Ovis aries: one gene and its partners. The protein of the gene in region 3 binds, or shares a complex with, the protein of the main gene of each other region. Links are inferred from orthologs where the notes say so. Each region holds a gene or a part of one and is shown on either strand. Other genes may lie near its edges.

Evidence for each region.
Region 1: SNRNP40 (region 3) and ARMC7 share a complex: the UniProt entries of both Homo sapiens proteins name them as parts of the minor spliceosome. The link is inferred for Ovis aries from reciprocal best matches to the Homo sapiens genes SNRNP40 and ARMC7.
Region 2: SNRNP40 (region 3) and DHX16 share a complex: the UniProt entries of both Homo sapiens proteins name them as parts of the minor spliceosome. The link is inferred for Ovis aries from reciprocal best matches to the Homo sapiens genes SNRNP40 and DHX16.

What each region holds. Positions count from the first base shown.
Region 1 is NC_056064.1:55,673,363-55,677,436, forward strand, and holds the start of ARMC7 (armadillo repeat-containing protein 7), read right to left. Parts: upstream 2,865-4,074; 5' UTR 2,608-2,864; coding exon 2,517-2,607; intron 2,420-2,516; coding exon 2,276-2,419; coding exon of another isoform or gene 2,263-2,275; intron 1-2,262. UniProt on the Homo sapiens protein: As a component of the minor spliceosome, involved in the splicing of U12-type introns in pre-mRNAs.
Region 2 is NC_056073.1:27,451,417-27,455,784, reverse strand, and holds the start of DHX16 (pre-mRNA-splicing factor ATP-dependent RNA helicase DHX16), read right to left. Parts: upstream 2,865-4,368; 5' UTR 2,709-2,864; coding exon 2,502-2,708; intron 1,165-2,501; coding exon 914-1,164; intron 831-913; coding exon 668-830; intron 375-667; coding exon 318-374; intron 1-317. UniProt on the Homo sapiens protein: Required for pre-mRNA splicing as a component of the spliceosome. Contributes to pre-mRNA splicing after spliceosome formation and prior to the first transesterification reaction.
Region 3 is NC_056055.1:236,108,863-236,112,500, forward strand, and holds part of SNRNP40 (U5 small nuclear ribonucleoprotein 40 kDa protein), read left to right. Parts: intron 1-2,712; coding exon 2,713-2,833; intron 2,834-3,638. UniProt on the Homo sapiens protein: Required for pre-mRNA splicing as component of the activated spliceosome. Component of the U5 small nuclear ribonucleoprotein (snRNP) complex and the U4/U6-U5 tri-snRNP complex, building blocks of the spliceosome.

The DNA.
Region 1 (4,074 bases), on a different chromosome or scaffold from region 3:
TCCCTCCCGACTGCTCTTTTTAGCAAAGTTTTCTGCAGAGTCGAGACCCTAGTGGTCCAGCAGTTAACACTCCACACTGCCACTGCAGGGGGCATAGGTTCGATCCTTGGTCAGGGAACTAAGATCCCACGTGGGAAGCACCCCCCTCTACCTCCCAAAATAGCTTCAGTTGGAGGAGATATGTCATGGCCTTTTACCATTTACCTCTGTGGTCATCCTCCCCAATACCCATATCCCAGTCTAATAACGAGAAAAATGTCAGGCAAATCCCAACTGAAGGAAAACCTACAAAATACCTGACCAGTACTCCTTAAAACTGCCAAGGTCATTCACAAAAAGAAAAAGTCTAAAACCAGCAAAGCCCAAAGGAGCCTAAATCTAACATAAGATCTTGGATGGAATCCTGAGACAGTAAAAGGTTATGAGGGAAAAAGTGACGAAATCAGAACAAAGCATGGACTTCAGTTAATAACAGGGGTACCCAGGTGGCTCAGTGGTAAAGAATCTGTCTGCCAGTGTAGGAGACGCAGGTTCTATCCCTGGGTCAGGAAGATCCCCTGGAGAAGGAAATGGCAACCCACTCCAATATTCTCGTCTGGGAAATCCCATGGACAGAGGAGTCTGGCAGGCTACAGCCCATGCGGTTGCAAAGAGTTAGACAGGACTATTGCTATTGGCTTATTAATTGTAACAAGTGTACCATACTAATGTAAGATGGTAATAATAAGGAAACTCGGTGTGTATACATAGAAACTCTGTATTACCTTCGCAATTTTTCTACTGTTATAAAATACAAAGTTTCTTTCAAAAGAGAGCGAGAGATTGAGATCTAACGTACATAACAACCAGATTAAGAGCATGGATCCTGGTTTATACAGAACAACAAAAAATGTCCGCTTGGGAACTATTAGAGAAGTCTGCCTAACTGGGTATTTGGTGACAATGGAATTATTAAGTTCATTCCCTATGAAGATAAGACTCCTTTCACTATGCAGAGAAATGTTATTTTTTAAAGACACATGCTGCAGAAAGAATGTTGGTTTTGTTTGCTTTTTGCAGGATCTCAGTTCCCTAACCAGAGAAGGCAATGGCAACCCACTCTAGTACTCTTACCTGAAAAATCCCATGGACGGAGGAGCCTGGTAGGCTGCAGTCCATGGGGTTGCTAAGAGTCAGACACGACTGAGCGACTTCACTTTCCCTTTTCACTTTCATGCACTGGAGAAGGAACTGGCAACCCACTCCAGTGTTCTTGCCTGGAGAATCCCAGAGACGGCGGAGCCTGGTGGGCTGCCGTCTATGGGGTTGCACAGAGTCAGACACGACTGAAATAACTTAGCAACAGCAGCAGTTCCCTAACCAGGGATGGAACCCATCGCCCCTACAGTGGAAAAGCAAAGTCCTAGTTGTTGGACCACTAGGGAAGTTCCAGGAATGTTGGTTTGCCCTCAGAATAAACTCCAAACTCCCACCCAATGCCTAGATCTGAATCCCTGTAAACTGGTGCGAGGTGCTCTCTAATTTAGCAGCACTAAATCCTTCTCTCTCATTTAGTACCACTCTGGGCTTCACTCACCACAATGGTGCCACATCAGCCTTCCTTCTGGCTCCTCCTGCTCTGGGGTCTTGGCCCGGCCTGTGCCTTCCCGCCAGGGCCAAACCAGAAGTAGTCCCTTCCTTCCCTTGCTCTTCTTCATCAGCCTGTTTTCTTCAGTGCCTCAGCTTCTTTTGTGTGTAAACCTTGTGTCTCTCTCTACTAGAATGTAAATTCCCTGAGGGCAAAGATCTTTTCCCAACTTGTTGGCCATCTCACCAGCATTTAGAACAATACTTTGCTCACAGGGTACCAGCCCAACAAACACCTGACGTGTGAATAAATCAATAGGTCTGAGACCAGAACAACTACAGGTGCCATAAGCCCTTCCGAGTGAACGCTATTTCTCTTGATGGTGAAACATATAAGATAAAGAGGTTTTAAAAGAGCGCTCAACTCCCCCGCCCCCACCCCGCCCCTCCAAGGGGCTTCAATCCATTCCCATTTATGATCTTACCTCTAACCGACAGGGAAGGTAGACAGGTAGAAATGGTCCTGGGCGTGGGTTCCAGGCCAGACTCAAGCCACCCGTGAACCTGTACGCTGTGTTGGCCGCGGAGGCATTACAGACACTACGAAAGTCTGCCTTCGCTGCTGAGAGACGGCCGAAGAGCCCTTTCCCAACAACTCATTTCTAACTCGTTACCTCATCAGGCACCTAGGAGAGCGCCCCATCCTTACCAATAGCAAACTCCACCAGGGTCTCATTCTCCTCCGACAGCGAATCGAGGAATAAATCCAAGACCTGCAGCTGCCGCAGATACTGGTAGTTACCGGGGTCATAGGCGAAGTTGGCGAGGTTGGCCAACACTTGCTCCTTGGCGTCTGCGATGGAGAAGCGGGCAGTGGCGCCAGGGTCGGGGCGGTGGTCGCGGCTGGACCCCGGCCCAGCCCCCCCTGCCCCCCACCCCGAGACACTCACCTTGGCTCTGCGTCTCCTGGAATTCCGTGACCAGCGCCTGCAGATACCCCAGCCGACCGACGTGGGGGTCTACCTTCGGCTTCTGGGCCATGGGCGGGCGGCGAGGGGCCCCGGGGAGCGGGCGGGAGAGTGTGGAAGGTTGAGGCTGGGGCGCGGGGCTAGGACCCCACCTGGCTTCGCGGGGCCGGGGAGGGGAAACGAATTCTCCAGCAGCTTGCAGCTGAGACTGGGCTGTGGGAGACGCGGTGGGGACTCAGAACCTCGTAGGAGTTGGGACTGAACACCTAAGTCGGGGACCAGGAGACAAGGACCCACTCTCGCGCCGCGTGAGGAAGGCCCGTCCCAGCTGGGCGGGACGTTCGGCTTGGTTCCGGACTTCCGGGGGAAGCGGCACTTGGCCACGCCCAAAGGGCCAAAGGGGCGGGGCGACGAGGCGAGGGGCGATGGGCGGGGCCGTCGCTGAGCGTGGGCCCGCTTCCAGCGTTTTGTCTCTCGCAGGCGGCGATCCGCCTCTTGATGGAAGTGGTGACTGAAGCCTGCGGTTGTGTTGAGGCGAGCCCCAAGGGCCCGTAGGAGCTCAGAGGTGCCGGGGGTCGCCTGTGTGGGGGACTGTCGGGGTAGAAGCACCTTCAGATGCACCCGCGCTTGGCGATGGGCCGCAGTCCCCGCCCCTCCACCATCCAGGGACGCCGTGGAAACGCGAGCGCCTGCTCCTTGTGTCCCCTCTGTGGCTCTTCTGACACTACCTTCTGGTCGGCTCTTCCCAAAAGCCCAGTGAGGACTTCCCTGGTGGTTCGGTGCTTAAGACTCTGCTCCCAGTGGAGGGGACACGCTTGGATCCCTGGTGGGGGAACTGTGACCCTGTATGCCCGAGGCGAGGCCAAGATGAAAACAAGTCAGCGCGCCTGGTATCCTCTGCTCCCCAGTCCCGAGCTGAGCCTGCCAGGTGGCGGGGCGCACCCGGGGCAGCACCATCGGACCCCAGAAATACTACTTTGGTGGCTTTCTGGGTTGTGGGGAGCCCAGAATGCTGAAGCCCTCCTATCTAGTCCTTTCTCAGTTTCTCAGGAAGGGGTCAGGTGACAGAGCACCAGGGAGGAAGGTGGCCCTCTTGGACTCCAGCGTGTTTCAAAATGTGGGGGTGGAAGCGGCTTAGGCTGTGAATTTCTGGAGGGCAAGGGCCTTGCGCAAGGACAGTGACTGCCACACTCCAGCTTGCCACAGCCCCACTGGGAGCAGCCCCCACCTGGTGGGCTCAGGTGGCTGTGATCAGCCCCAGCCCTATGCACACACCTGGGGCTTGGGGACCCTGGCTGCTTCTTGCAGGGTAGTGTCCCCAGGCCCCTCACCAGAACCTTCACATTTTAAGGAGAGCTGATTCGACCTGGGGAAGTCTATCTCAGCCCAATGTGGCCAGGGGGCTTCTCTGCTCCTGTCTGGATGGAGCAGTAAAGATCTAGGGACAGGACAGAAGTGGGCTCTACCCCACACTGGTCAGGAACTGCTCTGGACCCTCTCTAGAGGAATCCCAGGATCAGCCAAGTGTGGATTCTGGAAT
Region 2 (4,368 bases), on a different chromosome or scaffold from region 3:
TCCCTGGGCAGTGTGACCCCTGCCCTGCCCCTGTCCTCCAGCCAGCCCCTTGACCTTCCAGCTGCCTTTTGAGTACACCTCTTTAAGTCCCAGGAACAGGGAAATACTTCCCTCACTAACATACAGTCTGATCTGATCCTAAGGAGTCAGAGGGTTTCTGGGCCACTTCCTTCCCACTACAGTTTAAGTCTATCCTTAGCTGGCGCCTCAACCAGAGACCCAACAGCCCCACCACACCTCCTCTGCATCTTTCCTCCCTACCCTAACCACTCCATCAGGAAGCCTTTCCCTTTGTCTTCCTGGGCACACGGACTCACCATGGCTTTCCGGTCTTCCTCAGCCATCTTGAGGCGCTTCTGAGCCTCTTCGTAAGCCTAGGAGAAGGCAAGAGTGGTCAAAGTCCCCGTGCCCACAGCCATTCCTGTCTAGAATCACAAGGATCACTCAGATGTTCCCTAGCACAAAGAAATGTACCCCCTTCACTGAGGAATCTCTGTGGTTACAGGTTCAGCAGAGAGCCACCTTAGCCCAAAGACCCAAAGAGATGACCAGACTACTGGAGGCGGCTCCTTGTCTTCCCAGAGATCACTATCTGCGGTCACACCCAACCTCAGATCGGATCCAGGGGTCTGCCTGGGGACTGATGGGAAGTGCTGCTCCAATGCACCTTCTTGTCTGACCGCTCCAGGACGTTGCGAGTCCGATCCTTGTCCCGCTGCCGAACCCGCTCAGCGAATGCATCGCGTTCCTCCAGGTCCTGAAGGCGCTCTCGCTCTGTCCGCTCCCACTCATCCTCCGACTCCGGCTTTTCCGTCTGCTCTTTCTTCTCCCTGCAGCCCACCCCGGAGGATTAACTGAGGGCACTCAGAGGCTTCCTGTTCCATCACCCTCTCGCCCCCTACTTCTGACTTACCCTGTCTTCCTCTTTCCTTTCTCAGAAACTTGTTCCTCCTCCTCGTCTTCCTCTTCCTCCTCACGTTTCTTCCTGAGGTGTTTCCGTTTTTTCCGCTTCTTCTGGACACTGCTCCCAGCCCTGCCCACAGTCTCCTCGCTGCTCTCCTCACTGTCCTCCAACAACATATAAGAGCGGTTCTTTTCCAGCAGGGCTCGGGCCTCTCGCTCGGCTGCCCGAGCTGGCTTTTCCACCACTGCCTTCCGTGGGACCTGTCGGGAGAGAGAGAAGTCAAGGGGATGTAAGCAACTCCTGATCTCTGCCCACCTACTCTGCCCAGTTCCTAATTTAAGGAGTAACTGATCTTAAACCAGCTGTCATTCTGTCTCTTCCCCAAGGCTTCACACCATGTCCATCAGCCCGAATGGGGTCTCTCAGTTCCTAAGCCTATCCCATGCACCCCCTGCTAGGTACTAGAGATATAGGGGTAAAGAGATAAAACTTTCTGCCCTCATGGACTTTACATTCTCACACTCAATTCTCAACTGCTCAGCCTCTGTTCTTCCCGATGACTAAGTCATTCCTACCCAAGGACTGGACAAGGATTGTCCAGATTGTTTTGCAGAGCCCTGTCACGGGCCAGCACTGTAGTGGCCTCCAGAGATACCCTGGTGAACGGATTAACACAGAGCTCCTACCCTCACATCAAGTACGTTCTCATCTTTCACCAAGTGCAAATGGGACAGCCACACCAAGTTATCTGCCATGAACAAGTTCAACACTTTTAGTCTTACTGTATAATTTCTGAGCTCTTGTTCTGCAGGTTACAATTAGATGGTATGAATACAAAGACAAAAATCACAGTCTTGCCTTCCAGGAGCTCACCATTACACCTTTACTCTTCCCCTTTCTTTACCCAACAAACTCCAGATAATCTTTGGGCCTGCTTTTCTCGATCACAGCCACACCACTTCTACCCTCCCACAACACTGCCCACACATCTCTTCTATAGACTCACTCTTCGAAGGGTGGGCAACACCCAGCATCACCCGAAAACTTACAAGATTTGTTAGAAATGAAGAAATGAAGAAACCATCCCAGACCTACCGAATCGGAATCCTCATTTTAACAAAAGCCGTGGATGAATCCTAAACCTGTTTGAGAAACACTGCTCTGTAGACCCTTAGTTCAGTTCAGTTCAGTTCAGTCGCTCAGTCGTGTCCGTCTCTTTGCGACCCCATGAATCGCAGCACGCCAGGCCTCCCTGTCCATCACCAACTCCCGGAGTTCACTCAGACTCACGTCCATTGAGTCCGTGATGCCATCCAGCCATCTCATCCTCTGTCGTCCCCTTCTTCTCCTGCCCCCACCCAAACCCTCCCAGCATCAGTCTTTTCCAATGAGTCAACCCTTAAGCCCTCCTCAACCTTCTCCACGGAAGTGGTCGTCCAGCCCGAAAGTGATAACTGCTTGCAAACTGAGCTTAATTCTCCGTTGGACAGTTAGCCCAAGTGAGCCCAAACTCCGTTGGACAAGTAACCTGGGGGCCCCTCCCCTGCTCCACCCACTTTCCCGCCGCTCCCACGCCCGGTCCCGCCTCTCCCAGCACCTTGTTCCAGAGTCTCAGGGCGAAGTCCCGGGCCGGCCCACTGAGGTCCAGGGTATCGGTGTCTCGCAAGCGCTGCACGAACTCCTCTGCCGAGGCACAGCGCTGCGCGGTACCGATCAAGAACTGGGCCACGTGCCGCTCGCTCAGTCCCAGCACCGAGTGCAGCTCGTCTTGCACCCAGCGCTCCAGCCCCGCCGGTGTCGCCATGGCGACAACACGCTCCCTATTCCCGGCCCTGAAAGTGTCTCCAGCTGCCACGTCGGCGGCCGGGCGGGTCGGGGGCCTAGAGCTCCAGGATGGAGCCTCTGCTCCGGAATGGAGCTGCCTGAGAACCGAGGGGTTCGGTTTCCGATAGTCCAAAACAATCTTCCTGGACCGCTGAGGCCGGAAGTGGCTGCTCTTTTCCGGCCTATGCACTACGGTGGCCGAGCGAGTTCAAATCTCGCGTAATTGTACGCGAAGCTCGGAATAAAACATTTTCATTTCTTCCCCTACTGAATTTCTGTTGCCCTCTGTTGATCATTCGTGAGTATTACACCCATTCATTTCATTCAACTATATTAAGAACCTAAAGTGCCTGGTGGCTCAGGTGGGTAATGGCACCCCACTCCAGTACTCTTGCCTGGGAAATCCCATGGATGGAGGAGCCTGGTAGGCTGCAGTCCATGGGGTCGCGAAGAGTCGGACACGACTGAGCGACTTCACTTTCACTTTTCGCTTTCATGCATTGGAGAAGGAAATGGCAACCCACTCCAGTGTTCTTGCCTGGAGAATCCCAGGGATGGGGGAGCCTGGTGGGCTGCCCTCTATGGGGTCACACAGTCAGACACGACTGAAGCGACTTAGCAGCAGCAGCAGCAAAATGCCCGGTGGCTCAGGTAGGAAAGAATCTGCCTACAATGCAGGAGACCTAGGTTCTATCCCTGGGTGGGGAAGACCCTCTTGGAGGAGTAAATGGTAGCTCACTCCAGTGTTCTTGCCTGGCGAATTCTATGGGCAGAGGAACCTGGCCTACTACAGTCCATGGGGTCACAAAGAGTCGGACATAACTGAGCGACCAACACTTTCAGTGTGGGCCAGGCACAGTTTTAGTACCCAGGGATATAGCAAGGAACAAATCAGAAACAAATCGCTTACTGAATTTACAGTGGCAGAGGGTTGGGGGTGGGGACCAGCCTGACAGAGACAAGATAAAAATATAAAATACTAAGTTATATGGAGCCAAAAATAATGCAAGGTGTGTGTGGGCGCTTGTGGGGTGGGGCATTCAAATTAGAAGATCAGGTCCATGCTTGTTACAGATCAACTAATTAGGAGTGACCTTTGCTAGGACCTTCTGCAAGACATGAATACAGGTTAGGCTTATCAAGGACTCCAGGCAGATGAAAACTCAAGATGTGGAGAACAAGCAAAGGTACCCTCTTTTCTTGGTGCTATCTCATAATGTTATTTTAAAAGATCTGCAAACTAAGAAATATGCAAATTGTATTCTGCTTTTTTTTTCTTTTGCTAACAGCTTGAGAAAGTCACTGGTGTCTGCTTAATTTTAAATAAGCAGAACTTGTTGCTTGACTGCTGTCTGGCCTCTGGTTCTGCTTCATACTTGTACAATTAATTGGATTTATCTGACACTGTGTTGGGAAACTAAACATTTGTTATTCCAACTAACAGCCACAAGTAGTTCCACATCATTGATGTCATGAGTGCACTGTTTTCTGTTTCTGAAATGGACTGTGAACACCCCTGGCATCTCAGAGCTTCTTACTTCTGCTTTCCTGGGTCAAAACTAATTAGGGTCTTTACCTAATTAGCTACTAATGTGAGTACTCTCCCTCCATACTCACACCCTCTCTGAAGTGGCTTATTC
Region 3 (3,638 bases):
TAAAGCAAAGCCCTAAAAAGTTAAGTGATTTGGCCAAGATCAAATAGTCTGTGGTAGAGCCAGGACTCTCCAGAGGGCCAGTAGTCTTACAACTCATATTGCTTCTGCTCAATTAACAAGTATCCTTTAAGCAGACAGGGGCTTACCAGTCTTGGGCTTGCTTGACAAATCGTGCACTGTCTCACAACGTTAGGAAGCACTCCTGAAGAGCCTGGTTTTTGTTTGCTTCTCAGTCTCTCAGAGAGCACTGCCTGTTCTGGGACAGGAGGAACAAATAGAGAATGGAAGCCCCTCATAAAATCTGGAGTGAGCAAATTCTGATTATATTTGTAAACAAACACACAGTTCCTGTTGGGCTCTTGAGATTTTCTTCCTAGGTATAGGATTGTGGAGTCAGAGGGAAATGAATAAAAGAAGAAAATGTGCTTCTACTTGGTGGCTTGAAGATCTGGTTGGCATTTCTTGTAATCTTGAGCTCTAGTCAGAATGGGAGGTCAGTTGGTGATTTATTTTTTTTTAATGTAGTCCCATCTGTGTTCTCATCCTTTCCAATTATTTGGGCCAGAAGGCTCTTTTGTAGAATCTGATCAACTCATTCCACTACTCTACCCTTCTGTGGCTCCCCAGTGAGGGAAGTAAAATCCAAGCCAGTCATTCAAAACCTTTCGTGAGCTGCCCTTTGCCTGCCCATCACTCAGGCATTGTCTGCTTCCTCTGTGCCCATTTCCCTATAACCCAGCAATTTTTTCATGTCCCTCTGCTTTCATGAATCATCTTTGCCTGGAAATAACCTTCTGCTTTGTCTAAATAAAGAAGTACTTCTTGGGAATTCCCTGGCAGTCCACTGGTTAGGATTCCGTGCTCTCACTGCCAAGGACCTGGGTTCAGTCCTTGATCGGGGAACTAAGATTCCACAAACTGCATGGGATGGCAATAAATCAGTAAATTCTTTTTCCATGCCCTGCTCAAGTGCTTTATTCTTTGTGAAACCTTCCCTTTCTCACTTCCATCCATGTACCATGGCAACATTAATCCCTCTGCCCTCTTGGCTATTGCCCCTTGTGCAGGCCTCTTATCACTTGTTTAGCTCCTTGAGAACAGAACATTTCTTTTATCTCCAACAGTGCCTGCCACAATCACTGAACAGCTGATTAGGACATCTGCAAAATATTTTGCTTAAATTACTGCCCTACTCACTCTTCCTCTGGCAAATCCCAGATACATTTTGGGTATACAAAACAATGTGTGCAGGCCCCAAAGTGGAAAGTCTGGAAATAGCTCCCAAGTGCTGCGAAGGATGATGAATTTATTCTCCTAAAGAGCTAAAGGTTTCAACAATGCCTTCTCTGAAGAGAAGGAACAATGGCTTGAACAAAAAATGTCAGCCACTTCAAGCTTTCCTGATTATTGAGGCAGCAAACATCCTGACACAAAAATGATTGTGTATGAAGTGTGTTGGATTCCACACATGAATGAGTTATTGATGGGGAAAGTGGAGTTGTCTGCCATATGTATTGCTTTGACAAACTCATTTCTAGATGAGGAAGGCTTGCTTAAAGGGACAGCGGAAAATTTGTTTAAGTTAGAAAAACTGTGGCCATATTAAATCAAATTTGGATGAAATTTTGTATAACAACAGTGACCTTAACAGAACTGCTGTTCTTTTTCCATATGACATTCCAGACCATTTCTATTGCCTTTAATGTATTTCTTTTATGTAATTATAAATAACTGTTTTATATTTTTCTTATTTGCTTAATAATAGTTTATTTATAAACATTTTTGCATTCGATCTTCAGAGTGTTTTTAGGATTTGCTTAATAATAGCAACCAATTAGAGGGCCTGCTGTGTACCAGTATTCTATCTGTAATCCTCACAGAAGCCCTAAGAAGTAAATGTTATCCCCATCTTACAGACCAGAAACAGGCTCAGAAGGGTTAGTGGCCCAATAATATAATACATAACTCTTTAAGTTGCAGTGACTGATTCAGTCTGGCCCTAAATCCTCATTCATTCCACTCTGGTCTTCAAACACTAACATAAGCGCTCGTTGTGTTACAGTGTGTGTATGAAACCATTTATTTTTTTCTGTTTGACATTAGGTTATTTTCAGTTGAACTGTTTCCCTTACCTTTCCTAACCAGAAAACCATGAACTTACAATTTATTTTTCTTTTAATAAATATGCTTTTCCATCAGATGTATGTGTGTGTATATGTATTATGACATTAAACGAACATTTTTAAACCTCTGTTTTTGCTAATATGCAAATATCTGTTTTGTACATTTTACATGCAATCAAAATGCCGTTTTCAAATGAAGTCATTTAACTGTTTTTATATAGTTGTTTGTAATAGTTTGTTCCTAGTTGCAGAGAATCATAGATTGTGTTTTAAAAGCTACTTTGTTTTTTTAATTCCTAATACATTTTGTTATGAATTAAAAATAGCCTCTTTAAATCCTCTTATTTTTTGTTAAACTTAATATTTGGCAGTCATTAGTTTATATTTTTCTAGCCAAACTTAGTAACTTTAACTCTGTTTTTAGAAAGACAGGAGTTTTTCCTTCTTTGATTTTGTGGTAAAGGAGTGCTTGGCCCAGAGGCAGATTAAGAAGGGATACCAATTTTCCCAGGCAGTTGACTCTTTAATAACTGTTTCTTTGCTGTTCACAATTTGATTTCTGGGAGTGTCACCTTGTTTTGTTTTGTAGGTCTGGGACCTGCGCCAAAATAAGCTGACCTACACGATGAGAGGTCATGCAGATTCAGTGACTGGCCTGAGTTTAAGTTCTGAAGGCTCTTACCTCTTGTCCAATGCAATGGACAATACAGGTAACTTTGGAAAAGAAAGCTGTCCATGTCAGTCGCTGTAGAACCTAAATAAAATGGGCATTAGGTGCTGGAAATATGTGCTGGGGTAAAAGAGAGTCCAAGGAAAGAGCCCAGGATGGCTTGCAGGTATCCACCAAGGCAATTAGGAAAACAGATTGTAATAGAAAAAGCTTTAGAAGAGATGGTCAAGAAGCCAGGATGATAGTCCCAAATCTTCCATCTAATCCCTGAACATCTTTACACATAGCATTTGTTCTTTCTGGGCATCAGTTTCTATACTGATAATGTAGACAGTACCAAGCTCAGATGATCAACAGACCTATTGATATCTCAGTTGTATTCTTTCTGCCAGTCTATTTTCCCTCCCTACTCCAAAACCATTGATGTGACAAGAGGTCCTCATTAAAACACCTCAATATTCTGGATTTACACTAAGATATTTGTTCTTTCTTCACTTGTTTTTGAGTTGTTGGGTGGGAAGATATATTTTCCATAGCAGAAAAGGAAGATGACATCTTGGATTAAATGCTTAATATTGGAAGAGTTTGGAAATGCCCCTCTGGTATACTAAAATGTTTTCACTAACATTTTGTAATGGAAACTGTGCCTAACCCTCAAAGTGAAGTGAAAGTCGCTCAGTTGTGTCCAACTCTGCAACTCCATGGACTGTACAGGCCATGGTCCATGGAATTCTCTAGGCCAGAATGCTTGAGTGGGTAGCCTTTCCCTTCTCCAAGGAATCTTCCCAACCCCAGGATTGAACCCAGGTCTCCCACACTGCAGGCAAATTCTTTACCAGCTGAGC